Linked DNA regions of Medicago truncatula. The protein of the gene in region 1 binds, or shares a complex with, the protein of each later gene. Links are inferred from orthologs where the notes say so. Each region holds a gene or a part of one and is shown in the gene's direction. Other genes may lie near its edges.

Region 1 (7,251 bases):
ATGGGAAAGACAAAGTTTGGTATAACATCAACAATGACGAAGAAAATATGTTGTTGAAATTTATATGAAAGTGTTTTATTGTAAAGACTCTCACGAATTAGTATTCAAAGTCTTCATTTGTAAAGAATAACTGATTTCATTTGTAAACAAGCTTGAAACTGATTTCATTTTTGTAAAAATTTTGCTTGTTGAGGGAAAGCAAGTGTTCCGTAACAAGCACAAGTGGCATTGTTAAGAAGTAGAAGTATAGGTTGAGTTGAGGTGCAACCAGGAGACACTCTCAAGTGTGGTTCTTTCTCATCCCTTATTTTTGTTGTATTTTTTTTAACTAATGCATAAAAAAAACACTATCAACAATTTTAAAGACAAATATTTTCATCCAATCTGAAGTATTAGTTGCTTTATCATTCAGAAAGATTTTTAGAGAAACAATTTGAACTACAACTCAACTGTCCTTCCGGTGTTTATTTCTCTTGCTTTTATTTATGTATAATGAATAATATTTGACCATATTTAGTTAATGAGAGTAGGATTATTTGTTTATGGTTTGTACCAATTTATAATTCAATCACATTACATCAATTGATGATATCAAGAGAGGCATTTAGTGGGAATACCCAATTCCATACTAATCATGAGTTCACAACTTACATTAAAAAAAAACTCCACCAATTTGGTACTTATTATTTAACTATGTGGATTAAAAATATATATATATATATGACTCAAGCCCTATTTTTTTTAGTTACCATGATATTGATATGAAGTTTTCATCGTTATTTAATAGTGATTAATATCCGTCGATAAATATGTGGGATACAAGATAAATTCTTTCGTTCCAACCAAATTTTCTTCATATACAAAGTGGAACTCAAACCCTACTTTTACTATTTAAAATGAAATACATTTTCCCTAAAGCTTTCTTTTAGTGCAAGAATATACCAATTTGTTATTATAAAATATGATGATTAAGATTTAGTTCATTTCAATAATTTTTTAAATACATACATATGAATATTTATTCAGTTTAAGCATATCATCAATCATATATTTAAAATAACAGTACAATATATAGCTCTATGATATCATATTTTCTATTTATTCATTAAACTAACTAATTGAAATTATTCATTGAAGTTGTTGTTCTTGATATCTATTACGAGCAAACAAAGGTAACAATACTTGCATGATAATATATATAATAATAATAATAATAATAATAATAACAACAACACGATTTTCAGTTTATCAAAAGAAATTGAAATATCATAAAAGCATGAGTCAAAGTGTGAGAATTTCATAATAGTAAAAACATTATGACAGACACATCAAATTATAAGCTAATCAAAAGCAACATAGAATTATGTATAAATAAATTGTTACGCGGACAAGCAGTAACATTTTTTCCCAACACAAGTCGGAAATTTATAATTGAGACATACATCCTTTGCACAATCCATATTAGTTTTGCAGGGGATTAAACCTGTATTTTAAAAGGAGTACATGAATGTTACTAGAAGATGATGGAATATTTTTCATATGATAAAGAAGAAATATTGAAATTTGTGTGAACATGGACTTACTATGTTGACCTAGAATTACGGAAATCATGATGATGAAAGCATAAACAATTTTTTGAATTTCAGCCATATTTTGTCTCTTTAATTTGCATGTAATTAACAAACAACTTTTTTATCACTTTAAAAGCAAAACACCTCATGCTTTAATAATTTTAATAAAATTGGTTTTATCCCATGGGAAGTTGCAAGGAATCATTCATATAATCAACATTATTATAAATGCCTCTTCGGTACAATAAGGTGTCATATGTTGTGTGAAAATGTGATGTGCAAGTATACACAATTGTAACAAGTAATAATATGAACGTAGAGATTGATCCCATGAGGATCGAGAATTGATTAGTTCGAGCCAGCTATCAACGGTTTACCGAGTTTGTTGTTAACAAGAGGGTAAAAAAAATTATTTTGGAATTTCAATAGTGTTCAAGTTAAAGGTAAAAGACCCCTCAAAAAAAAAGTTAAAAGTAAAAGAGTTAAAACAACTAATTTTGAAAGAAATACCAAGCACATAGATGACTAGTATTCTGTTTTCCAAAAATGTTAAAAGAAATACAATGCATGTTTTAGTTCAACTATTTTGTTTTCAATAGACTAGTCCTCTAGGGAAATATATTGGGGTCCCTTTGATTGGAGAAACACCAAAGTGAAATGACTATCAATATTTGTTAGATCAAGATACGAAAGGTAAATATGACATGGGTACTAATGTGGGAAATGTTGTGATAGCCAAAGCTACAGATTCGACCTTGTGGAAATCGTTGGTTAGATTATGGCCAAATTTCGCTTGGTTTAAATTTATATCTATAAGTGATGGTTAAGATCCGGAGGCTTGGAATCATAACTGGAGCATTGCAGATGTTCATGTGTTGGTTGATACAGGATGTTTAAGGGGTTGTCGCTAAAGTAAGGGTTTTAGGCCCCTAAATTTTTTAGGTCTTATTCGACCCTCGACTATTTTTCGCTTTAAATATATTTTCTTGGGTCAAATTATTTTTAAGGTTTAAGAATAGGTAAATAATGTTTATATTGAATATTATTTTCAACATATATTATTAGTTGAACTAAATTTTTGTTTTTAAAAAGGTTTTGCATTAATTGGGTTGAGTCTGATTGAAAAAGTTTAGAATCTAACAACCTGATGAATCAATATTCGAATCAATAGAATCTGATGAATTGATCGGAAGAGTTTTTACTCATTAGACTCTTAACGGACAATTTAACGACAAGGATGAATTAATGAGATCCCTTATGTTACTAGTGCAGAGGTGAGGTGGAGTCGACATTACATGTTCATATGCAACTCCAAAATCAATTTTATTCAGTCAACTTATCATAGTGGGTTATAACTAATTAAGGTTATAAAGTGAATTGGAATGTGTTTTGGGCAATGACATGTCATTATATTTGGCTTTGGCTTAATAGAGAGGATCACAACGAGAACGCAACACATCCGACGTCATCTTGGGTACAAGCATTCAAACTAACTAGAGAATGTGTTGAGGTGAGCAAGACAATTGGAACTCATGCATTTAGCTCTCGAATCTCAAGTTTTGTTGCAATGGATTCCTCCTCCCATGGGTTAGATGAAATTCAACATGGACAATGTTTGTAAAGGTGGAGGGCTCAGATAATGTGGCGTTGTATTTCGAGGACCTCACGACAAATGGATTTGGATTGTATGTTGTACAAAAGCACACAATTTCACATATCTATTGATTTTAGATCAGACGGTTCAGATTACGTATTATCAAAAACAACTATAAACGATCTCAAACATCATTTTTAGATTGGAAAGCTACTACAAATAATTGTGTGACGCGGTTACTGAGTCAAATCCAATTCACACGACGAATGGTGTTTGCAAAAAGACTTGAGTAATGTAATGCAATTATTGTCGAGTTGTGGAGGATTATTGAGGAGCTTTACCCATCCAACAAGATTAGCTTTCACGTTGTAGAGTATTTTATGGATTCAAAAGTAATGACTATTGCTATCTACGGTAAGTAAAGTATTTTTGTGGCATGTGTATTTTTATGACAGGTAAAAGATTGACTCAGAAGTCACAATTTATCATGAGAATTGTGGTTGACACATATGCATTGGCTGAGAGACACAAGTAATTTACCCAAATGCCCTTCGGCAGTTAACTGCCGAATTATGGAATCGGCTGCAGTTAACTACCGAGGAAACCTCAAATTTGTTTTTTTTATTTTTCACAAAAATTATAAATTGTTATTAATAATATTTATTGATTCTGAATGTTTGAATCATTATTTTGGTACGTTTATAAGGCTTAAATGCACTTTTGGCCCCCTATATTTGCCGTCGTAGCAATTTTGGCCCCCTAACAAAAAAAATGCAATTTGAACCCCCTAATTTTGTCATGTTTCGGAAAATATGCTCTTCTGACCCCTTATCTTTGCAAAAATGTTGTGACTTTGACCCCCTTTTTTGGGACACATGGCGACTTCTCAACATAGTTGCGAAAATTAGGGGGCCAAAATTGCTACGACCGTAGTACGACGGCAAACATAGGGGATCAAAAATGCATTTAAACCTTAAAACAATTGCATGATTTAAAAAGTGATTATTTTTACTCTCAAAAACCCTCTCACTCTCATCACCTTAACCTTTCTCTCAAAAAAACACACTCACTTTCGTCGCCAATCTTAATCTCGCACCGTATCTCTCACCCTCCGCCGCCGCGATTTCACCGTCGCGCCGTGTGGATCCATCAAAGCCACCGTACCGGTAAGTACTTCTCTTTCTTCCTTTTCACGTTTCTCATTTCAATCTCCGTGATTTCTGATTTCTTATATATGAATCACGTTTCTGAAATTTCCATTTTTCATTACATTCCTGAAATTAGGTTACGATTTTGATCAATATTTCTGAATTGTAGAAGAAGAAACAAAAAAATGAAGTTCAAAATCGAAGAAGTAACAGTGTATTTCCCCTATGACAACATATACCCCGAACAATACGCATACATGATTGAATTAAAACGAACCCTAGATGCAAAAGGACATTGTTTACTTGAAATGCCGACCGGAACGGGAAAAACCATAGCTTTACTGTCACTAATCACAAGCTACACACTCTCAAAGCCTCAATCACCAATCAAGCTTATTTATTGCACTCGAACCGTTCACGAGATGGAAAAGACTTTAGCTGAATTGAGACTGCTTCATGATTATATGGTTAAATGTATTGGTCCGTCTGCGAAGATGCTTGCGCTTGGATTGTCTTCGAGGAAGAATCTTTGTGTTAATAATAAAGTTCTTGCTGCTGAGAATCGTGATTCGGTTGATGCTGGGTGTAGGAAATTGACTGCTAGTTGGGTTAGGGCGCTTGCTGCTGAGAATCCGGATGTTCCTTCGTGTGAGTTTTTTGAGCAGTATGAAAGAGCTGGGTCTGCTGCTGTTTTGCCTCCTGGTGTTTATACTTTGCAGGTATTTCAAATTTAGTTTTGTTCGTTGGATTTTTATAGGCTTTGATTATTTTGTAATCTTTATAAAGTTATAAAAATTGATTTTTTACGATGTTAGGTTGTTTTCAAATGCTCGAATTTTATAGCCTTTGGATGATATGCTATTCTTAAATGTATAAAGTTTTTATAGAAGTAAAATAAATATTGATTTTTATGGTGTTAGGTTATTCTGGAATGCTTGATTTTTGTGAGTGGGGTTGAATGTTCAGTGTTGGAGACTGTGTTCTGATTTCTAAATGTTTGATGGATACTGTTTTCTCATTTCTAAATGTTTGAATTCGAAGTGTGGTTGATTTTGATGATGTTTGCTGATTTTGGAATGTTTGATTTGATATTTTTTCAGTGGAGTCGAGTGTTCGGTTTTGGATGTTGTTTTCTCTGATTCTTAAATGTTTGAATTTGAAGTGTGGTTGATTTTGATGATGTTTACTGATTTTGGAATGCTTGATTTGATTTTTTTTTCTTCTTTTCTGGTGGGGCTGAGTGTTCAGCATAGTATAGCAGCCGCGCCGCCTGCTATTGCGGCGTGTAGTGGACTTTTAGATCCCAGCGCTCCCAACCGCGTCGGAGCGGTGCGAAAGTGAGAAGCGGCCGCAACGGCCGATATAGCGGGTATCGATTCGAAGCAGCGTGTGTCAACGCGTCCGCTACCATCTTCAATGACAGGTTCTCTGCCTTTGTCAACCTAAAGTAGTGCAGTAATGTATCTTCGAAGAAGCGAAGAGCTATAAAGAAAAACCGACGGATGATGAAGAGAAAATGGTTATAGAATAAGAAGGATTGAAGAGACGTAGATCTAGAGTTCAGATGGATGGTGGCTGGCGGCGGCTATGTTTGTATAGAATAGAAAGAGGAGAAAAAACTTGGGTTTGGTTATTTCACTTTTTATATAGAGTATTGGGCTAGGCCCATAGTGATATAACGTGGACTCAATCAATCTATTTCTGCTTTGGACTTCTTTTTTTCTTTTTTTTTTTGGTTACAACTTGGACTGTTTAATGATCATTAAGTCTTTTTCTTTCCCTTTTTTTTGGCTAGTTACTAGTGAAAATCAGTTAATTATCTTTAACTTCTCATTTATATTAATACTGCACCGCACCAATTTTTGGGTTGGCCGCGCCGCGCCACATTTCTGCATTGACAACTATGGTGTTCAGTTTGAATTCAAACCATAAATGACTGAAATTTTGAGATTTAGATGTTTCTTGATTTGAAAGTGGTCAAACTTTGAGTGTAGTATGGCTGTCACAGTCTTTATTCTGGAACTCTGTGGTTACAAGAAGTTTTGCTTCTGCTTGAGGTAATGCTGTGTTTAGCTTGACTTTGTATTTGCTTGCACCAACCGTGCCTCACTTGTGTTTGGTGTGGTGTCTTATTATTAATTCATTCACTTTGCCTTTTCAAATTTTGATTTAGATAGTTTTTGGAGTTTTCCTATTCTAAAATGTTTGTATCTATATGCGTGATTTTTGGAAAACTTCCATTTTGATTGCTTTCCGATGTTCTTGGATTCCAAGATGCCGGAATTTTTGTGGGTTTGACTGAACAATCTGATTTTGAGCAGTTTTGGTTGTTTCTTGGTGTTAAGATTTAAGACTTTCAAAGGTTGACATAATTTTGATTTTTATTCATTTTTAGTTGTTCTATGGTTTTGCATTTTGATATGACCAGACCTTTTAAAATGTTTGAATCTGAATGTGTATGTGATTGTAGGATCTGAGAACGTTTGGGAAGGAGAAAGGGTGGTGTCCTTACTTTTTAGCGCGGCATATGGTCCAGTTTGCCAATGTGGTGGTCTATAGTTATCAATATTTGCTTGATCCAAAGGTGGCTGCCATAATATCCAAGGAAATGCAGAAAGAATCAGTTGTTGTATTTGATGAAGCTCATAATATTGATAATGTTTGTATCGAAGCACTTAGTGTGAGTGTGAGGAGGCAGACTGTTGATGGTGCTAGAAGAAATATAAATAGAATGCGTCAAGAAATTGACAAGTATGTGTCGTTTCTAGCTTTCTCCGCTTGTTTTGTGATTTAGATTTTGCAGTGGCAAATTCAATAGTGAACAAGGGGGCATAATTAGGTAAAAAAATGGGGGTTCTAGTGATTGCAATAAATTCTGTTCACTATGCATGTTATAATCTCGCCAATTTTCTTTCACCTAAAGCCCTTAAAGTCTAAT
Region 2 (6,957 bases), on another chromosome or scaffold:
GTTCGACGGAACTGATGGGAGATCGCCCAAATCCTCAGTGGTGCCTTCAACAGGATTTACTCCTGCATTAGGCCCTAGTGGAATTTCTTCTGGTGCTTCTGCCGCATGCTCCTTGGTGAAACCATTACCCACTTTGACACTCACCCTTGTGTTATTATTTGTCAAGTTGATGATCCCTGTAGCATTGTAATCTTCCAATTTTGTGGTGGGTTTAATTATGTCTTTGCCACAGGTGCTCCTATCTATTGTAGTTGCTAGTATTCGTTTGTACTTTTTAACTGATTGTGAATCTGGAAAACTATGGGATTTCGGGTTTAAACTTACGCTTAGCCTTTTATTACTTTGTGTCTTGCTGAACTATTTTGTTCATCTAGGGTCAGTAATTCTAGGTGTAATCTGTTATCATTCATTCATAGAAGTTCCAAGAAATTGATGGTGGCGCCATTGTGCACACTTTGTAATCATTTATGTCTTTTGTGTCAACCCTCTGATTCCCTTGGTAATCCAGAGTTCAGCCGAGAGGTAAGCGAAGCCTGGTGGTGGAGGTAATCATGTTAATATGTTTCTCAACTGTGTTCTAGTATTTCTTCCTCTTTTTTTTAGGGAGTATTTCTTCCTTTTCTAATGCTTGTTTTGGTAGAATTTATTTTTCTTGGTTATTATCAAATCTTAAATAGCTTATTGCGCAACAATTTTCTGTTGCTTTGTCCAATTTAGGAGTGCAGCCTAATCAGTGTCGACCTAATACAGATAGTTTTTTAATTATAATTATATTCCTTTTTTGGTTTATTATGTGAAGGCAATAGAAAATGAAAGAGGCTAATATTGTGTAGAATTTTCTCTTTCTGAGTTTTGTTAGTTTAATTTGGTGAAGGATGAAAAAGGTTTATATAATATCCCCTCCTATTCCTACTAGCAGTTGAATTATTCATTTTGCGTTACTCCCACATAGGCTGTAAATTCTTCAATTATTATAGCATGAGATGGAATCTAACTAGAGAGCATATTGTTTGAAATAGCATCACAACATACCCAGAAATACACAAGTACTTCAGTTATTTATACCTAGAGTATTTGGTTTAAGCCTCTTTGTCTCTAATTTGATGAGTAAATGAGCCAATTTGTTCAACGAAATTTTAAAAATTGTTCAATTTTGTTTACAAATTTTGCATATAGACAAATATGTTCTCCAGTTTAGCACGTCAGTTATTTTTGACCATCCATCCATCATTTTTTTTTTATTAGAGGATATGAAGTTATGACAAGACATCCCAACGTGGAACAACACCGCAACTCAAAATACAAGCCACCACTTGTACTAAAAAATTCACATCCTGAAGCAAAATATAAATAAAGATGAAGAGGTAAGCACCAAATGTATTAGGGAGGATAATATAAGATTAAAGAAATTGAGGGTAATTTTGTTAATATAATAATTTATGTTTTAACATTCCCATTCTTCTTGTCCTCGTTAGCTTAGTTCAGTTGACAACAACAATTACTCTTAATTCCCTCCCTTTCACTCTTAAACAACTTGAACCAGCCAAATTTCATTTAAAATATCTTTTCCTCTCCAAAAATCTCCAAACGAACATACTCTAAATTGTCTTGAGTATTTTCTTAGCACAAATGACTTATCAAAAATCTATTAATTAACTTCACAAGACATCAACATTTTGTACTAAGTAATTTCATAAATTCGTTTTAACAAAATAATAATTTATAGGGGTGGATTCTAGGGTGAACCATCAACTAAGTGGTTCACCGACGGATCACTTTTGTACACCATTCGATTTAAATTAAAGGTTTAGATATGTTAGACAAAAAAAATGAGAACATAAGTATACTTCTGCACACTATCCTTGTTCATTTAAAAACCACCGTTTCCTTATAAAAAAAATCTCCTTTTACTTCACCCCTCCAATTCAAAATCTATGAACACCCTTTCTCGGATTTGGTTTTGATTGAAAGAGAAAACTCAATTCATAGTTTGAAATGACAATAAAAGGAATTAGGTTGATGCAATAAGTCACGTAACCCTTCTGAATACAATAAGGAAACAAAAATGTTGGATACGGGGTGAATAAGAATTATATTGTCTGAAATTAGAAGATGAAAAAGAAGAAATATATTTTATGTGTGTGTTTTTTATTGTTGGGAAACAAGAATGTGAAATAGTTGGTGAGGTACCATTAATGGAAAAGTGGAAGGATGAAGCCAGCGAGAGGGAGGAAGAGGGAAAAAATGATCTAGTGTAGGTGGTGTATGGTAGAATTTACGAGTGCGATGAATCCAATGGCTCTCAACTATTGCTCAAAATGGTCCACCGGTGAATCACTTATTTGATGGTTCACCCTGGAATCCACCATTTAAGGAGTTAGTTTTAATTTTTTTTTTTTACCAATTGATTATTATCTATACTATATAGGCTTAAATATGTAAAAGGTCCCTGTAAGTTCGCGTGTTTTTTGTTTTCGTCCCTGTAACTTTTTTTGTTCGAAAACAAACTCTGTAAGTTTGTTAACTTTTTGGTTTTAGTCCCTAACGTTAACTTCTGTTCAAAAAATGCGTTGCTGGCAAACGGAAACACGCATGGCGAAGGCTGAGTTGGCGTTAGTGGCTTACGTGGCCTGACAGATGATAAGTGACTATTTTTTAGGGACCAAAATCAAAAACGCAAATTTACAGAGGGACGAAATTGAAATAATGTAAACACCAAATTTTGAAATTTAAAAATTAGATCGTCTTCATCCATTTGTTTTCTCTTGTTGTTCTCCCTACCAATTTCTTCATCTCCCTAGAATGTTCTCATCAATAATGTCTGATTCTATAGTGGCATTGTTCTCATCAACAAAATCTCATTTCTTAAACATGTTCGTTCACATATGATCAAGATGGACCATTTCACTTTCATGCTTTGAAACAACAAGAGAAAATGATGAAAATGGCAGGCTGATGCTCCTTTTCAAAGCATGTTACTCCTATCTAACAAGTTATCAATAAGAAATTATAGACCATTATTGTACGGGAAATGGAACATGGCACTCTTGCCTTCATTGATAAAAATGGAAAGATCCAACCAAAAATGGAAATGATAAAACCCACAAGGACACTGGGAGAAATTATGAGATGCTTTGCAAAGAGAAGGTATGCCCAAAAGTACATGTGTGCAGATGTACATGTTTTTGAAGGTGCTATGTTTTTGGTTTTGGACCCTAAAAACTAGTCACTTATCATCATCTGTCAGGCCACGTAAGCCACTAACGCCAACTCAGCCTTCGCCACGTGTATTTTCGTTTGCCAGCAACACGTTTTTTTAACGGAAGTTTACGTTATGAACTAAAACTAAAAAGTTAACAACTTACAAGGTTTGTTTTAGAACAAAAAAAAAGTTACAGGGATGAAAATAAAAAACACGCGAACTTACAGAGACCTTTTACATATTTAAGCCTACTATATATAAAGAGAATAACTCATTTCAGCTCTTTTAGGTTGATTTTTTCTTTTCAAAATACCCTCAATTTTCAATACAAATAACACATGTAACAATTAGATAAGAATAAATTTAAATATTAAAATAAAAGTGTAATAAACTAGATGAGTGTATATATCCTTACTTTTTTCATTATCTCAATTATACCCTTAAACAACAAATTTTCTCTATAATAAAAATTGTTGTTGGTATCATTCAAAAAATAAGAATTTAAATTATATATTTTTTGTTATATTGTCGGTTTCATCAAAATAGATAACCATGATTAGTTTGATTTATTATAATTTAAAAGCTAAAAATATTTACATTAAAATTAAAATTTTATAAAAAGAAAAAAACACTGTTCACTATTTTTAGGCATAGTATAAGAATCAAAGAGTATTTAGAAGTGCACCCAAAGAAAGTAACCTGAGCAACCGATATCTTCCCTGCAACTGTGTAAGCAAGGATTTCTGACTGAAAACCTTCGAAGGCTTCTTTCCTTATTTTCAACACACTTACATAAAGGGTAACAAGGGAAGATGAGTTTGGTAAAGAAAATATGAAATCGAGAATCAATTGAGCCAAACGCAGACACAAAACACACGATGACTACTTCAGCTCCTTCAAAGAATTACGCAGATGACGTCAGCCTCCTCGTCGTCACACTCGACACCAACCCTTTCTTCTGGTCTTCTTTCCCCTTTCACTTCTCCGAATTCCTCTCTCAAGTTCTGGCGTTTCTCAATTCAATACTCCTCCTCGGCCAACTCAACCAAGTCGTAGTTATCGCCACCGGATGCAATTCTTGTTCCTACGTTTACGATTCCGCTTCTGATAAGAATCATGCTTCCACCAACGGTACAATGCCTGCCATTTATTCCAATCTTCTTCATAATCTCGATGAATTCGTCGCTAAGGATCAGCAATTGACTACGCCTCATCATAAACCTGGAACCATTCCTTCTTCACTCTTATCTGGAGCATTGTCCATGGCACTTTGTTGTATCCTTTTTTCTTTTTCATTATGTTTATTCACTTTGGTTACTGATTTTTCATGAAATTACACACTCTTTTTAATTGTTAGGGTTTTCAATTTGTTTTATTATTGCTTTTGTTGAAAATTGAAATTGAACTACAAATTATGTTGAATTTGAATCTGTAATGCATCCATGAAATTTTTGTTTGACCTGATTTCGTTATTAGATATACAGAGAGCTTTTCGTTCAGGACCCATGCATCCTCAGCCTCGGGTATGTATGTCTTTGCCTAATCATCAATTTGTTTTTGTATGGAATTTTATAGTACACTTGAATGTGATAACTGTAGTTGGATATGTTTGTCAAATATGATTGACTTAAGTATTTTATTGTGTTAATGTGGGTTGATAGTAGTGATATTAGAGCTGAATGACTATTGTTAAAATGATGTTCATTCAAGTTTGTCGAATGAAAGTTGATATTGTGGTGTTTTGGTTTTTTGAACACATTTTTGAATGAAAGCTGAATGACTATTGTTAAAATGCTATGTATTGTGTTCAGTCTCGTATCTACAAGTTTTTTACTTCACTTGTTAGTGTTAACAAACAAAATATGGTTATTGGTTTGATCCAAGATATATGGTTATTGACATCTGGTTGATTTTGAATTGGTTTAAATCGGAGTATCAAGTACACGATTGCTAAACACATTCCAATTCGCTCATAAGTCATATGATTGGCCATCTTTGTTTTTAAATTAATATATAGGCAGCTGTTCTTTTTATAAAAATCGTCATTGTTAGTATTTCCAGCTATTCTTTTTTTTTTTTTTGTGAATTTATATTTGACTTCATTTTTTTTACAGTTCATTTATAGTTTACATATTTTGGATAATTACTTTATTTATTTACTTATTTGTGAACAGATTCTATGTCTACAAGGATCTACTGATGGACCAGAACAGTACATACCTCATGATCTTTACATTTTATACTCTTAATTTCTGCATTTTTGTTTCACTTCAAATCACACTTTCCATCCTTTTCAGGTATGTGGCAATCATGAATGCAATATTCTCTGCTCAGCGTTCTGTAGTATGTACTCAATCTTAATTTTTTCTTTCATTGTTCCTTTATGATTGGTTTCTACCCTGGCTTTTTACTGCCTGTGACTTCAACAACATATATTTATATAATAACACAGAAGGATTGCTTGTTTTTATGTTGGTTACTTAGTGTATTATTTTGGCAATGCAGGTTCCTGTAGATTCTTGTTTTATTGGTTCAAACAATTCTGCATTCCTTCAACAGGTAGTTAAATTAAACAAACACACTGACACACCTACACACTTAATGAGTAGGTACTGCAGAATATGTTTTATTGACTCTTGTCCTTTATCTCTATATTATGTATGGCAGGCTTCATACATAACTGGTGGCATATATTACAGGCCTCCCCAAATGGAAGGGCTTTTTCAATATCTTTCAGTAAGTTTGTGTTTTAATTGGCGCATTTGACTGCCTTTTCAGTATCTTTCAGTAATTCTGTCTTAATTGACTCGTTCGCCCCAGGACTTGAATACATTTTTAAACGAGTATATATTAGTATTACAATTAAATTACCGTGGTTTAAGTTCATATTAACATTCATCGAATGCTCTCACTAAACACTAGATTTGTTTTGTAGCCTTAGCCTTGCTTATAATAAAATATTTTTGGAATCAGTTTACCTCTAAAACATAAGACTTCAAAATAACTGTGGTATAGAAACCCCTATGGCGGTGCAAGACAAAATAGATAATGCTGATACTAGTTTTCTCTGTTCACAAACTGATGTCTTAGTTATATACACCAGTAGAGAACAAGGTAATGACAGAGCCACCTCATACTTTGCTTTAAGATGGCAAACTCTTCTTATCAAGGTCTCAGTAGTTTATAATTAACTTCCAATACCGTCGTTACGAAAAGGCTGTGAACCTGAATGCCTTTAGAATACACAAGAAAAATGAATTAAATGTTCTTTTAGTGTTACAATGTGTCTTCCTTCCCTATAAGTTGTTTGACATAAAATTAGTTTAAATTCGAAAAGCGAACCTAACAGCTATTCAACAAATAAGTCATTAAATTATTGTCAAATCTCTATTTGATAGTACTTCAAGATGGACAATTTGTTTTTTCATTATTGGTGTGTGGGATTTTAGCTTACTTTTTCATGGTTGCACTTCCAGATAAGTTGGTATGCATGTGGTACAAACTGCATGTTGGAATCCTTTTTGGGTCAACATAAAATGTAGGAAAAAGTATTCAAAACCATCGAGCTCATTTTTGCATGTACCATGTAGCTCCTAGTCAAGGTAGTTAAAATTTAGATTTTACGCAAAATCGGAAGGGGAAGTAAAATCATAAATCGTGGATTTGTAACACTAATCTAATCATCATATTATACAAAATTCATAAAACTCATATAGGCAGGCTTCTAGTAGAAGAGAAAGAAATGAAACCATAAG
Region 3 (8,058 bases), on another chromosome or scaffold:
AAATAACTGTTAACAACTTCAAGACATAAAATCCCAAATTAAAAAGGTTTGTTATTACCATATATGAAGGACACAAGTATAACAAATGCTCAATGTTAGCAACATAAAGGTTGAGCAGTATTTTACTGTCTAAAATCAAATGTTACAGAAACAAACACGATTTCTTTATAGGAACCATGAGCAAATATCTAAGAAGTATCTCCACGGCGAAAGTGAGTCAAATGACAAGCGACTAAAAGTGTGTTTGTGTAAAGAGCTTGCATAATAAGAGCTTATATATTGAAAGTGAGTATATGTCATAAGCTATTTTTATTACTTCATTTGAGCACATTTACAAGAGTGTATCTAAAACACACTCTAAGAATACGCAATCTGTTATATGGATTACCACGATTTTTACACATCAAAGAAAAAAAACCAGTTTAATTGAGGTAAAAAAAAAAACATAGGCAACGTCTAAACATTGCAAATCCATTACTTCAACTACAACCATGTTGGAACTTGGAACAAGAACTACTTTGAAGAATTGAGAAGTAGTCAAAATCATAATACTTGTTCATTAAGAAAAAATATTAACAAGCTCCTACCCTAATTGTTAAGTACATTATCCTATAAAAAGGCCTCCTTGTACTATGTTTTGGTATCAAACTATCAATTGAATTGAAGAAACGAACGATCCCTCCCTCGCTTTAATGTCCCACGGATATCAAACTTGTTCATACAATGTCATTCTACATGCATATCAAACAAACAAGCAAACCATAATCCAAAAGTTGTACCCAATTTTTTTGATCCAATTAATTTCAAGTTTACTATGAATTCATTTATTTAACTAGCTCAATTTTAAGCTCACATTCGACTAATTTCGAATCATGAATAAGTTCAACAGATTAATTATTTACTTGAGTCTTAAATTATTTTTAAGTTTGTTAAGTTTAGTGTCATTATAAGTGCAATGTATGTCGTAACATATTGATGTGATTTAGGTAATATCCATAGTAAAATAGAGACATGAGAAGACAATTTTATATCAAGTGTGATTATTTTTAAACTTTACGGATAAAGTGTCGATCTGTTGGATGTTGATAACAAATTAAAAATAAAGTGTCGATCTCGTTACATTTTCAGCATCGCTCCGAAACTTCTTTTTTACTAACTTTTTTCTTTTTCCATTTTTATGAAAATACTTAAGCATCTCAGTTGCTGCAAATTTGTAACTGTAACACTGCATTTGCAATTTGGTCTCCTAACCAACATGTTACCTTGCAATTTCAACACTGCATACATTCTGTTACAAGTCCACCTGCCTTGATTTTGGCATTTTCCTCACACTTTAGCTAATATTTTTAGTATAAATTAGAGGAAATGGAGTGAACCAAAAAAGCGAGGCAAAAAATGTTGAATCAGATAGAGAACTGAGAGACATAAGAGAAAAAGAAATAGAGAAAATGTAGAGAAAACACAAATCCAACTTTCTTCCTTGTAGATCCCATTTCAATACCCTAAAGCCTTCAATCAACATATTTAAAGTGAAATGAAATATGATGACAATAATAAAGTGAAATGAAAGGATTGTTTGGGTCTTTCATCAAATGTTGATTAACTTCCTATATTCACGAAGAGAATGTATGTTTACATGATCGAACAAGATAATGAGTAAAGGTATTGAAAAGGGATATAAAGTTTTCCCTCCATCTCATAATATGTGTTATCTTTTTTAAAAAACTTGTCTTAGATTATTTGTCCCTTTTGCAATATCAATACAACATTTATTACGTTTTTCCACTAACATACTCTTATTTATTACATTTCAATCATCTATAGCTATTCGACTAACTATAATTATAAGATGTTTTAGTAGATGATAATTTACCATTAAAATCAACATTATTAATTATTTCTTTAATAACTGTGTAAAACTCAAATAAGACATTATTGTCAGAGGAAGATAATAATAAATAGTCTAACTAGAATATACGGTAAATTCAAAAATAGGGTAGGATGCTTAGTTGGTAAGTAGTTATATATAGTATAAAAGTAAGACTATCCACAATGGTGGGTGCTTCATCTATTTAGCACCATATTAAATAGGCACCCTCATTGTGGAGTATAATAAATAGTCTAACTAGAATATACGGTAAATTCAAAAATAGGGTAGGATGCTTAGTTGGTAAGTAGTTATATATAGTATAAAAGTAAGACTATCCACAATGGTGGGTGTTTCATCTATTTAGCACCATATTAAATAGGCACCCTCATTGTGGAGTATAATATATGGATGGCTATAGAGAATGGTGGCTATGGAAGCACCCTCTCTCTCTTCATTTTTTATGGGTCTCTTTTAATAAATCTTAATAAAATAAATAAATTTTGTTGAAATGTAATTATATAAAATAATTCATAGGACCTATTTAGTAATTTCTTTTAAGGTGATGGGTTGGAGAAAATGAGTGTTTATTAAGTATTACCATAAAATAAGTGATGTCTAACATATAAAATTAATTTAAGCACTCAGTTTAAGATGCTCTGTTGTAGATAATCTAAGGTGAGTGATAATCGAGAAAAACTACGACTTCTTGTTTGTCGTTCATTTTCATCAATACACAACTGTGATGTCCACCAAATTCGGACTAATCAGTTTTCCATTTCTTTAAAACATCAATGCGTTTGATTCTTAATTTTCGTCTTCGTAAAAAACATCACTTCTCTAATAATAGTAATTTATACCTTTCTCTCTTTTCTCCTTAACAAATCTAGCTGTCACCATTTTTTTTCTTGATACATTGAAGAGTGATTTAGAGTCATTTTAACTCAAAATTATCCCTCTGAAACAAACACACCCTTAGTAGTAGATTATTGCATGGATTCGTTTCTCTTGGTATAGAATAGAATTGTATAGCTTTTGTGTTTGAGAATGGTATCCGTCACTTTTTTCGTTCTAAAATTTTGATTTGGATGTTAAATTATAGGCTAAAATATGGTTTTAGTCCCTGCAAATATGCCTCGTTTTGATTTTAGTCCCTGGTAAAAAAAATTTTTGTTTTTGGTCCCTGCAAAATTTTTTGTTTTTGAAAATAGTTCCTGACCCCACTTTTGTGATGATTTGCATACGTGGCACATTATAACTGAACCAATTTTGTAGTTTTTGGTCCCTGCAAAATTTTTTGTTTTTGAAAATAGTCCCTCCCAAAATTTTTTGTTTTTGAAAAACTATTTTCAAAAACAAAAAATTTTGCAGGGACCAAAAACAAAATTTTTTTTTTACCAGGGACTAAAATCAAAACGAGGCATATTTGCAGGGACTAAAACCATATTTTAGCCTAAATTATATTAATTTGTTCCATGTTTATTATATGATAGCATGAGGATGGTTTAAGGTGACCCATCGTGTATAACTATAAATAACTGAGATTGATATAAGTTGAAATTTGGACGAAACTCATCACTATAACTGGATGATTGAGATTCAGAAGTTAGCCAGAACTATACACTTACTGAGAAATTTCTTTTTCCCATTTACTAAGCTTATATGAACTACTTATAATGTTATTCAATCGGCTAACTCAAATTCATAGTATGAGAAAGACAACAAAAATTAAAAATATGAAGTTTATCAACTCTTCTCCGGGAACCACTCTCGGATAACTTTTCTATAGTCTTGGAGTTTATATTACCTTTCTGTTAGTGGTGTGTATTGCAACAACTATTTGTCCAATTCAACCATGTATTTGAATCCTCTTGTCTGTGGAAGGGAGCATCAGAAAAATTTGTTGCTGCTTCTGCCGTGTTTTGGATTATGGTTTAGAGGCTATCAAATGGATGGATTCAAGCATCTTTCAGCCATTGGTTGTTCTCCAATTTGGAGGATAAATAGTTCCATATTAGTCATAGTAGATTATAGCATAAATAGCTTGTAACCACTCGATAACTTTCTCATTTGCAATAATATTCATTCTCATTCCATGGATGTCATGTATCATAACAGTTTGCGAAGCTCCAATGTGTTTACACTTTGAGTGCACATGTTCAAACACAAAGATGTGTAAATCTTGAGGAGCAAAATTGAATATTAAGTTGCATCGGAGGTCCATCGAAAATTTACTTTAAAGGTAATAGTTTTGACCACACACTTCAAAACTCTCTTATATTTTTTTCTTACTATTCGAAATCTATGTTATATTCTATTAATATTTCGAACAAGTGGGTCAAGTGACAATTTCATCACTATAATTAATACTAATTTCATCACTCTCAATTCAATATTTTTCACTTTGCTTTTATGATCACAACAAATGCACAAATATTTGACAATGGCACTTTTTTTACCGAAGCAAAATCAACTAATATCATTAATTACATATTGTTCAATACATGGAGGATAGAACTCAAAAACACGGCGACTAGCCGAAGAATAGGTCGCCCTAGCTAAAGTACGAGCGACCATATTTGCTTGTCTCCTAATAAACTTCAACTTGAAATTGGAATGTAAAACTAACTTAGCAATAATACAAGAAATAATAGCCTAAAATTTAGAATCACCGCGACGATGGGACGACAAGGCATTCACCACCGTAGCCGAATCAGACTTGAAAACAACTTTTTCCCATCCGTTTTGTTCTGCAAACCATATGATTTCTAATAGCGCCATTGCCTCACCTTCAAGAACTGTCATATGTGATTGCTGCCATCTTGGTTGTGCCTTCACGAACTATCCATAAGAAGTACGCGTACAACAGCCAAATGAGCAAATGACTTACTTATTTTGAGACGGATGGAGCACAATTTCCCAATTCCTTTGATAGATGAGTGACACGTGGAAAAAAATTAATCAAAGGCTAGGATTTAAAATGTGAAAAAGCAGCATCTTTTTCAATAAAAAATAAGTTAAAACAAGCTTTTCTTGTTTTTCAATGACACTGGAAATTACTATAATGCCCTTAACTAATATGAATATTACCAATTCAATTTCATTTCCTTTTCCCCTTTCTCTTTCATCTGATGCGCGTTCCTCTTTTTTCTTCTCCCAGCGAAAGCAAAACCACCGAACAACATCCACCACCACACCACTGCCGGCGGGCCGCGACCACTCTTCTCCTTCTCCATCCATCACCGCCGCACCCCCCCTCAATCTTCTGTATTGATTCTTTAGTTTAGAGAGCTATCTCCATCCATCTCTCTCCACAAACCCTAATTGTTGTAACTTGTAAGGTAATGTGAAATTGAATGTAATTTCCTTCAATCCTGATTCTGATTTGATAATTACATGTTCTTGAGTAATGTGAAATTGAATGTAATATTCTGGTAATGATTTGTAATTGTGTATGTGTCTTTAATGATTTAGTGATGTGAAATTGAATGTGAAATTGAATTTTTTTAGTTTTCGATTGCTACTGATTACTACAGAAGACATGAATGTTCTGCTTATTATTATGGTTTAGAACATGAACTCTGATTGCTACTGAACTGTTACTTGTGTTTAAATAATTGTATTGAGTGTGAGAGACGAATTCCAATTGAAAGCCTCGGTTTTAAATAATTGTCAAACAATAGTAGAATATGAAAGCCTGATAACTAGTCAAATTGTTTTAGAGTTACTATAGGTAATTAAGAAAAGTTAACTTACTTCCTTTGCCAATTTTAATCATGTATGGCAATGACTTTGAGAGGAGGACGTAATCAATAATCCTAAATAGTAGAGGTGGAAAAGATGGAAAATGTAAGCTTATTTGATTCAAAAAAATGTAAGCATATCTTCAACTTCTAGCATGCCTAGATGAGCTAATCTTCCTCTATTTTTGATAGTGTTTGGTTTTTCTGTATATGACTAGCATGTCCTAGCAACTTGTCATGAAAAGTAGCAACATTTATGGCATTTTCCATCAGAAAGATCTATCAAACCTGGCTCAACTTTTGAATTCAGCTATCATCGTCTTCTGTTTATGAAAATCAAGTGAAATTGGTTCATTTTGAAATCATTTATGTTATTTCAATGAAATTGAAACCGGCTATTGTTATGAAATTTGAATGTTATTAGAATTGATGTAACATTGAAACCATGTATTGTTAGTTGATTTTGAAACTGTTTCAACAGGAAAAGTTAAGATGAAAAGTCGGGATGCGTAAAGCATCACTTTGAATATGATGATCGGTTTTTAGTATTATTTTGTTGAAATTTTTTATGAACGACACCGAAATGGGTCGTATTGTATATTATATGATTTATATATTTTAGTTTATTTTTAAAGCTGCCACCCCAAAATTTTAGGTCTGGCTCCGCCACTGCTGTCAACGTGTCCCCTTTGATTTGGTGTGCTGCTACTCAGCTTCTCCGACCACCGTTGAGGTACGGCTTTTAATCCTAAGCATCTCATTCTCAACAATAAAATTTCCAAATCCAATCCCTAATTCGCGATACCAAGTAGATAGTGAAAAAAGGCTTATCAATATCTAATCTAATTAACAATGGTTACGACATTTAATCAAACAGGTTTAGTGTACAAGTAGTTTGAACTTGCTATTTTCCTATTTCCTTTTGTACACTCAACCTGTTTGATTAAATGCCTTAACGAGAGTATGATTATGGTGTGCCGCAATTGATCATCATAATTTAGTTACTTTCCCAATAATAAACACCTCGCTTTTTTAATTATACATTATGTTTAAATCATTACAGTTTTTGTTTTCATGATCTTATAAGTGCTGATGTTTCTGTACATTTCATTTAGTGTTCCAAAATTATCTTTATTGAATTATATATGATAAAATAATTCATTTACCGTTGCAGCTTCATCACTTGGTTAATTAACTACTGCATCTTTTCGGCAAGAAATCATGAATAACATTGCTGGGAAACCGCTTAATGGAGATTTAGAGGATGATGATGAAGATGAAGCTAATGATGATGGCCTTGAAGCGTGGGAGAGAGCTTATACAGAAGATAGATCATGGGAGTCTTTGCAGGAAGATGAATCTGGACTTCTTCGTCCCATAGATACGACAGCCATTCATCATGCCCAGTATCGTAGACGCCTCCGCGCCCTTGCTTCAAATGCAGCTACTGCGCGAATTCAAAAGGGTTTGATACGATACTTATACATTGTTGTGGACCTGTCCAAGGTATTGGTTTTATTAATTTATAATTTTTGTGTTTGTGTCTAAGTCATTTGTCATAGACCATTGTATTGATTACTTGAAAATTGGGGTTCAATTAGAGGATGGGTATGTTGGAACACTTCACAAATCAATGGCAGTTAAATTTACTTAATTTTCTTCCATTGTCTTATCTATATTTCCTTTTGCAAATGTTTTTTGAATTTTATCCTTTTCCTTTAGAAGTACATCTAACTTGTTCAATAAGCTAGCACTTAATAGCTAATCATAGTCACACTGATTTTCATGAAGAGCAGTTCTTATACCTGTAATTATATATGAAATTGCTTATGATCCTACAATTACCAGTATCTTATTCAATATCAGTATTAACACTTAATAACATATATGTCTTTCGAATTTCTTGCCTTGTAACATAATTCAGTTTCTTACGTCATGTGAAGGCAGCTTCAGAGAGGGACTTTCGACCAAGTAGAATGGCTGTGATTGCAAAGCAGGTTGAGTTATTTATCAGGGAGTTCTTTGATCAGAATCCACTTAGTCATGTTGGTTTGGTGACTACCAAAGATGGTGTTGCTAATTGCTTGACAGATCTTGGCGGCAGTCCTGAGTCACACATCAAAGCTTTGATGGGTAAACTAGAATGCTCAGGTGATGCCTCCCTACAAAATGCACTAGAACTTGTTCATAGCAATCTAAATCAAATCCCATCATATGGTCATCGAGAAGTTCTGATTTTATATTCGGCCCTCAGTACATGTGATCCTGGTGATCTCATGGAAACTATCCAAAAATGCAAAAAGAGTAAAATAAGATGCTCGGTCATTGGTCTTGCTGCTGAAATGTTTATATGCAAGCATCTTTGCCAAGAAACTGGAGGAACGTATTCAGTTGCACTAGATGAGGTTAGTTTGTTGATTATGATTGAACCATGTAGCTTCTGCACAA

The links. Proteins that work in one complex are often made in the same cells at the same time.
Region 2: general transcription and DNA repair factor IIH helicase subunit XPD (region 1) and general transcription and DNA repair factor IIH subunit TFB4 share a complex: the UniProt entries of both Arabidopsis thaliana proteins name them as parts of the 7-subunit TFIIH core complex. The link is inferred for Medicago truncatula from reciprocal best matches to the Arabidopsis thaliana genes UVH6 and AT1G18340.
Region 3: general transcription and DNA repair factor IIH helicase subunit XPD (region 1) and general transcription factor IIH subunit 2 share a complex: the UniProt entries of both Arabidopsis thaliana proteins name them as parts of the 7-subunit TFIIH core complex. The link is inferred for Medicago truncatula from reciprocal best matches to the Arabidopsis thaliana genes UVH6 and GTF2H2.

What each region holds. Positions count from the first base shown.
Region 1 is NC_053043.1:42,019,976-42,027,226, forward strand, and holds the start of general transcription and DNA repair factor IIH helicase subunit XPD, read left to right. Parts: upstream 1-4,176; 5' UTR 4,177-4,331; intron 4,332-4,449; 5' UTR 4,450-4,498; coding exon 4,499-5,032; intron 5,033-6,783; coding exon 6,784-7,064; intron 7,065-7,251. UniProt on the Arabidopsis thaliana protein: ATP-dependent 5'-3' DNA helicase, component of the general transcription and DNA repair factor IIH (TFIIH) core complex, which is involved in general and transcription-coupled nucleotide excision repair (NER) of damaged DNA and, when complexed to CDK-activating kinase (CAK), involved in transcription by RNA polymerase II.
Region 2 is NC_053044.1:36,049,908-36,056,864, forward strand, and holds the start of general transcription and DNA repair factor IIH subunit TFB4, read left to right. Parts: upstream 1-3,871; 5' UTR 3,872-4,080; coding exon 4,081-4,477; intron 4,478-4,678; coding exon 4,679-4,725; intron 4,726-5,376; coding exon 5,377-5,414; intron 5,415-5,499; coding exon 5,500-5,545; intron 5,546-5,707; coding exon 5,708-5,761; intron 5,762-5,869; coding exon 5,870-5,938; intron 5,939-6,957. Other genes in the region: lysM domain-containing GPI-anchored protein 1, read left to right, coding at 1-190. UniProt on the Arabidopsis thaliana protein: Component of the general transcription and DNA repair factor IIH (TFIIH) core complex, which is involved in general and transcription-coupled nucleotide excision repair (NER) of damaged DNA and, when complexed to CAK, in RNA transcription by RNA polymerase II.
Region 3 is NC_053048.1:41,896,843-41,904,900, reverse strand, and holds the start of general transcription factor IIH subunit 2, read left to right. Parts: upstream 1-4,972; 5' UTR 4,973-5,208; intron 5,209-5,334; exon of another isoform or gene 5,335-5,664; 5' UTR 5,665-5,741; intron 5,742-6,265; 5' UTR 6,266-6,343; intron 6,344-6,784; 5' UTR 6,785-6,831; coding exon 6,832-7,116; intron 7,117-7,553; coding exon 7,554-8,015; intron 8,016-8,058. UniProt on the Arabidopsis thaliana protein: Component of the general transcription and DNA repair factor IIH (TFIIH) core complex, which is involved in general and transcription-coupled nucleotide excision repair (NER) of damaged DNA and, when complexed to CAK, in RNA transcription by RNA polymerase II.